3 linked regions of the Drosophila melanogaster genome follow. The protein of the gene in region 1 interacts with the protein of each later gene in a pairwise test. Each region holds a gene or a part of one and is shown in the gene's direction. Other genes may lie near its edges.

Region 1 (5,033 bases):
AACTAAACGATAAGGTTTGATCGAAATGGAAGTCTGTTTGCTCCAAAAGAGGTCTTACGGATATTTCCACGCCATTTGGGAAGCGTTACCGACTTTTTAGTGGTCGACTCGGCATCGCCGGCCATCTTCAACACGTCAACAGGAAGTCAAATATACGCACACGCACACACGCTGACGAGGGCACTCACACACACAGACGCACAGTCACACTTATGGCGAGGCAAATACAAACATGTCCGCTGCAAAATGGCGAGCATAAATTTCCGCTTCCGCCAGCTGACGTTTTATGGCAGAAGCGAGCGCAGAGCGCGAGAGAGAAGAAAGTGCCAGAGACTGAGTCAAAGATTGTTTATGGTGGCCAACAGTTGATTCATCGCATTTAATGGATAACGCCGAAGCACATTCAGCAGAAAGGGAATCAAATTCGCGAACGGAGTGAGCATATGCGAGTGCTGCCATTTTATGCTGAATTTATGAATTTATGAATTTATTTCTGGCGAGAAAGCGCGAAGGGTCTCTAATATATTGGGGCAATAAATTCGCCAAGCAGACATGTCTCTGTGCAGATGCCCAGGGCGTGAAAGGAGCGTAAATTCCTCCACTCACTCAACTCCTTCATCAATTATGATTATTTACATGTGATGCTGCATGACTGCGCAGCACGCGCCGCTTAAAGCCCCAATTACCAGTGATTGTTTCTCGAAGCGGCCTGAAATTGCATCGCCTGATCCCTCAATTGTTGTCCAGATGGCGATGGCTTATCATTTAATGAACTGCTCGGATCACACAGTATTGCTACACAATATGACCATTGTAGTTATGGCCAATATTTCCCCCTCATTGTCCCCCGTGTGCATGGCCTTTGTTTAGCGCGCTAAAGTCGGCGCTTATTTTTATTTAGGTCAACTTTATTATATGCACATAATTACAAAAGCCAACACACTGAGCCACCCAGAGTGTGTGTGTGCCAGCCGCAGATAAAGCATTTATGAAGACAGACATGTGGGAATTGCGGTGCTGGCAGGACAAACAAAGTGCCATCGTGGGGAAATCCGTCCGCCACCCGCCTTCCGAGTCTCATTTATTTGCGCTGTTCTAATAATAAGAAATAATGTCGTTTCATGTCCTATTCCAGCTTGGCCTATTGTCCATGTCCTTGCTTCTGCTTCTCTGGTCGCCAGGACGCTCCAAATGCCCAAAGTAAAATATTTATGCGACAAAAGACAATTTTGGATTTATGCCCCTCTGTGTGTGCTTGTGTGTGTGTTAGTGTACTTTATTCACTTCCAACCACCAGTGCTAAAAGCAGCTGAGTTGGGCATTTTGTGCCTTTTTGCTTGAACAGGAAATGCTCCATAAATAGCACAGCCTTGTCAGACTCTTTCGTGTGCGAATTTATGTGGCAAAGGCTGGGAAATTGTATGGCCAACATGGCTCGATTGGGGCAGCATTGTGGCCTAAAACTGGGCCAAAAAACCAAAGTGTGCAAACTTTAATTGAGGTTCATTTGGATGGCTGCAAACGCATGGCATTCTCTGGGCAGGTCCCGTTTTAAAAATGATAGAAGTTCGTACTCGTTACTGGATTTAAGCATTGGGTCGAATGTTCTATTTGGCTACCAATTCAAGTCCTGAGCCACTTTTACAGTTAATGAATGTAATCGGCACGTATGTATCAACGTTTAATCTCTGAGACCTTGCTAAAACTCTCAACTCTCAGGAAGTCCTCAAATTTGGCGTAAAAATATAAATAACGACAAAATTTTATTAGTAAATGAAAATTAAGAGTGGTCCAATCCGATCCCATCGTAAATGCGCAGGAAGGCGTTGCAGCGGCGTCGCTCTGCTGGCCGAGAAAACGATCCACCACAGCTCGGAAGGCACGACCGGCAGGACAACCGCTCCCAACGAGCGGAGACGTATCCCTCGATCCGAAAAGGAAAGCCACATTGCGACCCCAACAAGAACGAGGCCACCACACGGTTGGCCAACACCCTCGAGGCCGATGGCAGTGGGCGACCCTACGACATGGTCAAAGACGACGTGCTGCTCGCTTGGCAGCAAAGTCCTCACAAGGACACGTTGGGCTTCTATGGCGTAGGATCGCCCACCCACCAGCCCGAGTCGGTGGTGTTCAACCAGGTGGTGGCCGCCTGCTTGGTCAAGGTCAACGGCGGCGGCACTCAGCGGAGGATCCCTAAACAGGATAAAAAGCCATCCCCAAGGGATACGTTAGCGCAAAAGAACCGTACCCCTCAGATTTGCAAGCCTTTTGTCTTAAACCGCCACGCATTGCAGTCTGATCTACAGCAGATTCCCCACGTTCAACAGCAACTGGATCCGCGACAGGCTTTCGGGACGCTATACTGCACTGATCATAATCAAGTTCCTCACGATTCCACTAGAGTGGCACGCCAGATGTACACCGGCATTTCCAGACATCAAGTTTCTAACATTGAGCCAGCAAGAAAAAAAGACCCACGTGGTCTGCGCCATCCCCAGTGGTACTGCCCCCCGGATGGCTTGGAGCCTCGCCATGGGTGCACCCAGTACGAGTGGGCCAAGCGCAAGCTGGATCCTAATCCCAATAACAATGAGTTTCGGCATTGTCCGCAAGGGAAAGATGAACACAAGAGTCCGGAACCACTGAACTACGATCAGCTGTATAGTAGAATCATTAAGTGCTTTGAGCCAAAGCCTTCTCCAGATCCGCTTTGCGAGCCCTATGAGAAGTGCTGTAAGCCGAAAAGATCCCATGGAAAGGATAATCAAGGAGGAGGTGACAGTCAAATACCCAAAGGACCCAGTAGGCCCACAAAGTCTTCGGGCGATCCAGGTAATCCAATTGGACACGGAAATCGCGAACCAGGAGAGGAAGATAAAGTAACTATAGTGCGAGATGATGGAAACGGAGATAGAGGGGACAAAGAAAATGACAAGGATAAAAATCAATTCGTTAATAAAGATAAGCCAAGAGTTTCAATTAAGGAAAATGATAATGATGGTGATCAAAACAACGATAAAAATAAAGACAAGGTCGTAAATTTTAATCAAGAAGAAAATAAATATAAAAATCAGGATAGATACAAGAATAAAGAGGACAAAGAAAAAGAACGAGAAAAGAAAAAAAGGGAAAAGGCGAAAGAAAAGAAAAAAGGCAAGGATAAAGAAACAGAAAAGAAGAGAGAAAAGGTAAAGAAAAAGAAAGAAAAGAACAAGGAAACGGGAAAAGGAAAGGAAAAAGCAAGGGAAAGAGATAAAGAAAATTATAAAGGAATTGAAAGACCAAGAGAAAAAGAAGAAGGCGAAAGAAAAGAAAGAGAAAAGGAAGAAGAAGAAAACGAAATAGAAAATGAAAATAACAAGGAAAAAGAACTTGGAAAGGAACAGGAAATAGAAAAATTTAAAGAAAGGGAAAGACCACATGAAAAGGATAAGCCAATGGAACGAGAACAAGAAAGGGAAGAAAAGGGAAAGCAAGAAGAAAAAGAAAGGGAAAGAGGAATTGAAAAAGAAAGAGAAAAAGGAAAGGGGAAAGAAAAAGAAGTTAACAAGGAACATGAAACTGGAAAACAAAAGGAAGACAAAAACAGAGGAAAGGATCAATTTCCAGAAAAGGGCAAAGAAAAAAAGCAACAAAAACACAAAGAAAAATATAAAGATGAAGATAAAATCAAAGACATGGATTTAGAATATGAAAAATATGACCGTGATGATATTAAAATTCCAAACAATAAAAAGAACAAAAATAAATCAAACGAAGATAGTAAAATTGAAGAAAATAAACCGAACAGCAACCTGCCAGAAGTGACCTCGCGATTCTTCGATATCCCCGTGGATATGGAGTTCGATAAAACTATCAAAAGAGGAACTAGGGTGGAAGATTACGAATTTCCAGCCCTAGAAATTGTCAGGGACGAGCCAGCGGCTCCGACTTGTAAGCTAAAGGATCCGCCCAAGAAAAAGAAAATGAAGAGGATTAAGAAAGTTTGCAAGGATAAGCCCAAGAAAGTCTGTCCACCTTGTCCACCGGCAGGTTGCCAGTGCGAGATCTGTCACTTCATGGATCGCCCTTTCAACGAACAGGAGGCTCCCTTCATGCGGGAAATGAGGCGTGTGGAGCAGAAGCGCCAGCTGCGTGCCTATTACCGCCAGATGCGCCATCAGGAATACATCCGGGATCGATGCAAGACAGAGTACCGGGCGCCCAGGCACCAATGCGATCCGATCTACTGCTCCAACTTCTTGTGCCAAAATCCCCGACTCGCCGAGCACTGCGATTGCCTGGGAGCCGTCCAGGAGCTGCAGAATCTTCTCTCCGGCTCCAAGGACAACGAGGATCACAGCAGACTGCTCCTGCGCGTCGAGAATCTCCGGAAACGCGTTTGCCAGCGAATGTGCGATTGCATTCTGGCGTGAACTGGATCGGAGGTCTTTGTGTTTGAGAAAGTACCTATGTGTGTATGGAATATGTTTGGCTCCTTGGAGTATCTGTTTTATATTAAACAAGACATAAAAAAGTTTTTTATGCAAGACAGCTTTTCCATATTGATGAAACCCGAATACATACTCTACATTTTTGTTAGTTTACAGTCGAAATGCGTTTTTTGAACAGCCTCTGAAGAAGCCTTTTAAGATGGCAGACTTTCCACTCCAAAACATTTAAAAAAGTAAGTAAAAAAGTAAAAAGTTAGACACTTTGCCACTCATTCATAATTCTGCTAATGCAGAGCAATCAGCAAACAAATTGTGAGTGTCAATCGCAAGCAAAAAATGACAGAATCCTTAGGCAATCAATGGGTTTGGGTGTGTTTTTGGCCAAGGCCCAGCATTACAGCCACTTTATTTTCAATATCGAATTTCCCAAAAATTTTTCAACAGCCGCAAACACTTGAACGTTTTCCCAGCGCTCAATTAAAGGCCATTAGGCAGCAGTGCGTGAAGGGGTTTGGGGGAGGAAAGTCCACAGAAAGCTATCAAATACTACCCCAACCCCTTGCCCAAATCCATTGCAATGTGGTGCTATGTATGGCC
Region 2 (3,636 bases), about 11 Mb from region 1:
AATTCCAGGCGGTACATCTTTTGGGGATGATTCATGTGGCAGGGGTTCTCTACTCGTTTACAATCATATCATCATCTTCAAGATCATATAGTTTATCATATCAGTAGAGTACTACAATATAATGCATAAACTAAGCCAAATAACTTTATGACGCGTGCTTATGCGAAAGTAAACTTTATTATCAAATTTACTTAACCGTGAAATCAAAACCTTTATATAAACACGAATATTATTATCTTTGCTAAATAAAACTCTCGCTTAACAAACAATGACACTTCAATTCCAACATAGAGTTTATCTTAAGCCAATAACCAAAAACGGAACTTACATAACTTGCCAACAAACATATGAATATAGCTATTTCGGATCGTGGGAGACCATTATGCATACAAGGCACGCTCCTAAAAACCGTGTTAAACAAATATATGTCAAATGTATATCTTAAAAAAGCGCGCACATATCTTTTGAAATATCTTCACCCAGAGTATGTATGAGATTAAACTGGATTAGCACTAAGCCACAGCTTCTGTAGATAGAAATTTTATGCAGAGAGTAGATTATTTGGCTGCTGAGCAATTTGACCACCACAAGATAGCAGAGAACATCTGACATTTTCTATATCCATATAATAAAACTGACTTAACACTAAGCTGAAGTGGTATGTTTAAATCCTCCAGCTAATAAATCGAGACTAAACGCCCTATCTTATAGTGATATATAATAGTATCTATATGTGTATTGTCATTTACTGTTTATGAGTATTTGAAAAAACCATTCTATATTTTATAGGTTAGTTAATAAATATTTTGATATACATATGTAGATTGGCTCACACGTACTTATGACCCACTACATAATAAAATTGTTTTGTTTTTTAATAGAATAATGGTTTATAAAAAGTTTAGACTCACACGGAAATGATAAACTCTTTGCAAATACAGCTTTCATTTTATTACAAATTGCACTCTTTCAGATCTGCAGTTGCTATGCCAACCTTTTATTCCCTTTACTAAAAGGGTATACTAGGCTTACTGAACAGTATGTAACTGGTAAAGTAAAGCGTTTCCGATTCTATAAATTATATATCTAAACTTTTGATCAGTCGAATCCATCTGAACACATTCTGTCACATTAGATTATTCCAGAAACTCAACTTAAACATGTGTATTTTTTAAGACCATTATCAAGGATATTAAAAATGGTCTCCTAAAATTTAATAAACAAAAGTGTCACATCAAATTTAAGACGTAAATTAATATTTTTTTTCTATGGTGAAATAATTGTTATTTTCCAATGTTGTGAAATAATAAATGTATCTTTTCAACGCACACATTTTCAAGGTTTTAATAATAATAGTGACTCGTGCGTGAATAAGAGAGAAATTAAGATTTTAAAAAAGAATAAAATTCAGAGATGTGATCTGTAAAAATTATTTACCAATTTTCATTTACCCCCGAAAGTGATGCTAATGGTTAAAACGGCATTTGCGACTTATCTCCTACGTAATATTGCAAAAATAAGGATTTGGTTAGATGAGTGTGAAGTAAACAAGATGCAAAGTTTTGGAGATAGAAAACATAGCCTTGAGTCTTGGTCATGTTTACTTGGCACCAGGCCGCGATTATCAGCGCTACTAGTCGTAATTTGAGTTAGACCTTTAATACTCTAAGTGAGAGTGATGATATACGATTTCCCAGCCACTTGCTTTCTACGAAATGCGCTAAAAAAAATCCCTAACTACACAAAGATTTGTGTTGTTATCCAGGTGTTCTGATATAAAAGGCGGCAAGGAAATTGATGGCATCATCAGTATCAAAGTGAGAGTGATTGCAGTCACAATGTTTGCCACGCCCCTCAGACAGCCAGCTGCGGCTAACCACCAGACCCCAAAGAATTCCGCCGGCATGGATGAGCATGGTAAGCCGTATCAGTACGAGATTACCGATCACGGATACGGCAAGGATGCGGTCAAGGTGCTGCATGTCAGCCGCAACGGACCCGTGCACGCCATCCAGGAATTCGAGGTGGGCACTCACCTGAAGTTGTACAGCAAAAAGGATTACTACCAGGGCAACAACTCGGACATCGTGGCCACCGATTCGCAGAAGAACACCGTCTATTTGCTGGCGAAAAAGCATGGCATTGAAAGTCCCGAGAAGTTTGCTCTGCTCCTGGCCAGGCACTTTATTAACAAATACTCGCACGTGGAGGAGGCGCACGTTCATGTGGAGGCGTATCCCTGGCAGCGAGTTTGCCAGGAGGAGACCAGGACCAACGTCAATGGGAAGTGCGAGAACGGAGTCCAAGGGAACTGCGACTTCAGCTCCATTGACAACAGATCACTGCACAATCACGCTTTTATATTCACGCCCACCGCTCTTCACTACTGCGATGTGGTTATAAGGAGAACAGGTTAAGTCAAACATAACTAAAGCAATAATATTTAAAACTACTAAATTATCACCTCCTTTACTGTTTTAGATCCCAAACAAACGGTCATCACGGGCATCAAGGGTCTCCGGGTGCTGAAGACGACCCAATCCTCGTTCGTGAACTTCGTGAACGATGAGTTCAGATCTCTGCCAGATCAGTATGATCGCATCTTTAGCACCGTGGTGGATTGCTCCTGGGAGTACTCCGATACCGAGAACTTGGACTTCCTCAGGGCCTGGCAAACGGTCAAAAACATAATCATTCGTAACTTTGCTGGCGATCCGCAGGTGGGCGTGTCCTCGCCCTCCGTTCAGCACACCCTGTATCTGAGTGAAAGACAGGTCCTGGATGTCCTGCCGCAGGTGTCGGTCATTTCGATGACCATGCCAAACAAGCACTACTTCAACTTCGATACGAAGCCCTTCCAGAAGATTGCACCCGGCGACAACAATGAAGTTTTCATCCCAGTGGACAAGCCACATGGCACCATCTATGCCCAATTGGCCCGGAAGAACATCAATAGTCACCTGTAGATCGATCTCTGATGTAGTAAATCTAAATCAATCTAAATCAATTTAGCCAATTCATAATTGCATGCGGCGAAGTTATATATGTATTTTAAATTATTTAAGCAAACGAATCATATGCTGCGTTCTTCTTATTTAAACAATAATAAACTAATAAAAAATAAAGTGTAAAAATGAATAAATCGATTGCAAAACCATATTTCGAGATCACCCTTGCCTTGGCTGAATAAATCCAAATTATATCAGAACTATTTTCTAAAATCCTAAAATGAGGCATCGTTCATAAAAAAAAATATATAAAATAAATTCCACAATTTTCGACCACTTTGGCAGTCAAAATTCGCAATCTAAATTCGAAATTAGCAAATAACCATTTAGCCACAAACAGCGTGACCATGACCAATCGACTGGCCTTGCACCACATCCTGACCACCCAGCTGCGAAGGGACTGGGAACAGGAGGAGAGCGCCAAGACCAGGCTGTCGCAGCTGTCCAGGAGGGACAGGATCAAGGCCTCGCTAAGATCGAGTCAGTTGCCAGGACGTTACCTGTTGCCCGACACCAGAAAGACCTACGACAATATGGTGGCCAATATTCACTCGACCATGAAGTGTAAGCTGTTGTGCTAAAAACTAACCAGAAACTTTCAAAACCAATCAATCATTTACTTAGCGGT
Region 3 (4,166 bases), on another chromosome or scaffold:
GCACAGCTTTTTCAAATCGGGTGAAAGAAGAATGCGTAAGAAGCAATTCAGCTTGAAAATCAGTTTGCCAAAATGGGTCTGGGGTTCGATTTTAGTATCATTTCGGTATACTCCATTTGAATTGCCATAATTAATTGTATATACAAAAGAGCAGGAAGGATTATGTATCTAATTTTAATATACTTTTAAAATTGTAACTTATGTTTAGTGCTCTCGCTTAATTATAGTTTTGTAAAAACGGGCTATTTGTTTTTATTCGTAACTGAACACACATTTTTTTGAAAAATCAAAATATTATACAATGATTGTTTTAGTTTTAGTTGTTTAGGGTTTTTTGCTATTTTACACTTGCTTGTTTACAATTCGAAATTGGAGAACAGTATTAAAAGGCCAAGGCGAAGGCAAAGGCGAAACGAGAACTAAATATATTTAAATGCGATTTTCTCTGCGCGATTCCAATTTGTTAATCAATGTCACGCGCTCAAAAACTCACACGAAAAGTTCAAACAAACGGCAACCTGATGCGCAAATGAATAAAAAAAAAAAAATCGAGACACGCAACAACTCGGCAGAAGAATTAGTGGACGACGACGACACGGCTGTCGAGCCGTTCTTCTCCGAACCTGAAGAAGAATTACAAATTGTATTCGATTTACTCCTCTAGCAAAAGAGTCTGCGGCAATGCTCAAGTTTTGTGCGTTCGCTATGCTCGGCAATTGTTACTTAAATGTGCTTTAGTTCAGAACTATGTACCCATTCGGTTGCCTTATAAAAAGGATGTTTTTGTCTCTTCTTAGGGCTCATGAAGATTCAAAATATTCCTTTTGCCCCAAACTCAAAACGTTTGTTTTCCAAAATCTTTTGTTCAGACGTTGAAATAGAATGAGAAACCAATTAGAATTAGAGAGTCGATGGACAAACAAAGAGCGCAGCATTGCTCGATTGGAAATCTTTTGCAACTAAATAATTCTAGAATGCGAAGCAATTTGTAATTTTTATTGAAATGCCAACAACTTTGGGCCGTTTATAAAATGGCCGAAAGAGGAGGCATTTGAGCAAAGGGGTAAAAATAAAACAAAAACAAAAAACAAACAATTTAAGTGTTTTCAAAAAGTCAACAAACTCATATATGCAGCTATATATATATATAAAAATAATAAAAAAAAAAACATTAATTTATTTCTTACTATATAATTATTGTTGTACTAAGTCGGTGAGAAAACCCATGAAAGAAAGAAATTCACACGAAAACTAAAAAACAAAATGCATATTTATTAAAAATAAGCAAAGGTTGTGCAAAAAAAAAACACATTAAAAAGCAACATTATTATTGTAAAAATTAACTAAATACGGCAATTGTTATTAAATGTGCAAAATTCAGCAAACACATTGATACAAACCTCAGAAAATACAAGCCAAGATCTGAAAACGGACATCAATGGAATGCAAATTTTTGAAAATATAAGGCAAGATGAACCGTGAACGGATCAAACAGAAACGGAAACGGAAACAAAACACTCAACAACAAGAAGTACAAAATGTTAAATATGTATCTATAATTTACAATTACGTTTTATATTACTCTCTAATTTACACGCTTACACAATGGAAAAATAGCTAACTATTATTGCAATCGTCCTCAAACACACAATAAAACTAGATCAAAAGGCGGAATTATTACTTTAGCTAAAATAAAATATCACCTTTTGCAATTTGTATCATTTTCTTACCCTTATTGTTTCACATCGAAATCAGAAAAAATAGTTAAAATAGCCGCATATACTCATATTAAATTGAAAAGAAACGTGTCATTGCAGAAAAGGATAAAGAAAATAGTAATATAAATGATATATTTATTCATATAAATGTATTTGAAAATGTGAACAAAAGAATACCAACAATAAAACACAATTTAATAAACAATGTGAAAGCTACGAGTGTGTTTTTTTTTTAAAACACTTAAAAACACAGTAGCCGTGCAGTCAAAAATCCAAAACAAGAAAACCAAATTTCGAAATGGAGGAGCTAATGAGGCAGAACGGACAGAAATGCGAGAGGCAGGAACTCACCTGCAGCGTTTTATTTACCAAGTGAGTTAATCTTAAACCAGTCGGAGTAATCTTAAAATATTTTCCTTCTCCTTGCAGTCCCAAGCTTAGTGCCGAGAAGTTATCCTCCAATGATGAAATAAACTCCATTGCGAGATTCGTATCGAAGGCGGAGGATCTCGAAATGCATAGAGTGTTCAGTAAGATATCAAAGAATGGTGTCGAGGAGACCACGTCTCTGAATCGCTCCCTCTTCGAGTTCGGTCATAATTTCGAGGATGCCGATGGCTGGCTGAAACTGGAGCAGCCTTGCAAGGATCGGCTGGCCACGGTGCTGCGCTACATGTTCGAGTCCCATCTGAAGACCACTGTGCAGATAGAAATCAACAATATGTACTTCAATTGCCACTTCATCGTGCTGCAGGTGTACTCTCGCTTCTTTAGTGAACTGGAGATGATTCCGCTGCTGGTCACCCTGCCCGAGAAGATCGTGTCCCAGAAGGCCTTTATGCTCTCCTACAAATGGATGCTGAGCGATGAGCCCGTCCTGGAGCTGGCTCACATTGTGGAGGTCTATGTGGCCGCCACTTATTTGAGGATCTCTGGTCTGGCGGCGCATTGTTGGAAATATTTCGATGATGAGGAATACTACAACGAGGATACGGCATGTGTCCTATACGTCGAGTCGAAGGACAATCCCGCCATGGATGTAGTTCGCAATTTGATGCTGACTAGGATCCGCAAGTTTCTGCTCACCTTTGTGGCCACCAGGGATTTCCTCGATCTGCCGACCTCCCATCTGATTTTTTTGCTCGAATCCGATCAAATCTGTGTGAACACCGAGATTGAGGTGGTGTTCAACATAATATTTATAGTTATTATTGCATTTTATATGTTTTTCTTAGGTTTTCTTTATAGCTGTTCGATGGCTGGGTCACGATTGGAACAAGAGGAAAGTGCACGTACGTCGTTTAATGTCCTGTATTCGATTCAACCTGATGCCATTGTGGTATCTACTATATGCGCGACGGGAGGAGGATCACCCGTTGGTGATGAAGCTGATTTTCAACCCGGAGGTGGAGTACAAGATCGACGAATCCATATCGAGAATAACGTCGCGCATGTACGAGGATGCCTTGGAGGGCAATGACGCACAGAGTGAGGAATACGCAAGTGATTCCGGACAGCGAAACTGGATATGCGATAGCTTGTGCAGCTATTATCACGGCGTCGGTTGTCCCAATACCCGGGAAATTCGTTTCAAACACTTCGAGGATTACCTTTCGGAATTACAACAATGCTCCAAAGATCACTGGTCTCAGGTGATATTTCAGGACCCGAGTAAAAAGATTGACTGTTGCAGCACAAGGAAGATAAAATCGGACGATTTTGTTGCCGATTAACTATTGAGTTTGAATAGTAACGACTAGAATTCAAATTTGCGGGCTTCAGTTTGTGCTAGTATAACAACTTGGCACACTTTTCTGTTATACATTGTACACTTCGTTCATTTGATATTTATGAAACAAATCAGCATATTTTTAATAATATATTTTTTAAAATGTACATCAACATTTTAAAAAAAAAGCAAGTGGTTTAATAAATATAATTAATATTTATTGTATTATTGTCGCAACTTTAAGTGTGACCATTTCTGCAACGCTCTTTGGCATTTCGGGCAGATAGGGTGGCGTGCACACTTTGCATTGTTTTGGAAAATAATTTGATACATTTATCAGGAAAATGGAAAAACTGGAGGCCCTAAAAATATCCTCGATGCGTCCGCGCAGCAACATCCTAGACAGACCACTATCCAAGGGCAAAACGGAGGTTTCCCAGAGCATTGTGGCGCTGCTTTTCAGCGAAATCGTCCAGTACTCGCAGAGCCGAGTGTTTACAGTCCCAGAATTGCAAACAAGGTGGGAGTTTCTCTAAGTTTTTGCGATTAATTCGTTAATTCCAAGGCGTTTTCAGACTCCACGATCTGGGTCAAGATGTAGGCACCCGCATAATCGACCTGTATTTCGTGAGGGAGCGCAGCTCCAAGCGAGAAACAAAACTAACCCAAATGCTTCTCTTTGTTAAGACCACGGTGTGGAAGAATCTCTTTGGCAAAGA

Evidence for each region.
Region 2: the proteins of CG31797 (region 1) and Uro interact in a two-hybrid assay, tested with the Drosophila melanogaster proteins (one large-scale study listed by BioGRID).
Region 3: the proteins of CG31797 (region 1) and CG12857 interact in a two-hybrid assay, tested with the Drosophila melanogaster proteins (one large-scale study listed by BioGRID).

The regions. Positions count from the first base shown.
Region 1 is NT_033779.5:19,258,912-19,263,944, reverse strand, and holds CG31797 (uncharacterized protein), read left to right. Parts: upstream 1-1,704; 5' UTR 1,705-1,811; coding exon 1,812-4,418; 3' UTR 4,419-4,513; downstream 4,514-5,033.
Region 2 is NT_033779.5:7,778,280-7,781,915, forward strand, and holds Uro (urate oxidase), read left to right. Parts: upstream 1-1,805; 5' UTR 1,806-1,838; coding exon 1,839-2,412; intron 2,413-2,481; coding exon 2,482-2,966; 3' UTR 2,967-3,136; downstream 3,137-3,636. Other genes in the region: CG7164 (uncharacterized protein), read left to right, coding at 3,356-3,572, 3,633-3,636. UniProt on the Drosophila melanogaster protein: Catalyzes the oxidation of uric acid to 5-hydroxyisourate, which is further processed to form (S)-allantoin.
Region 3 is NT_033778.4:14,757,407-14,761,572, reverse strand, and holds CG12857 (uncharacterized protein), read left to right. Parts: upstream 1-1,970; 5' UTR 1,971-2,016; coding exon 2,017-2,090; intron 2,091-2,147; coding exon 2,148-2,898; intron 2,899-2,953; coding exon 2,954-3,451; 3' UTR 3,452-3,666; downstream 3,667-4,166. Other genes in the region: Trs31 (TRAPP subunit 31), read left to right, coding at 3,792-3,967, 4,023-4,166.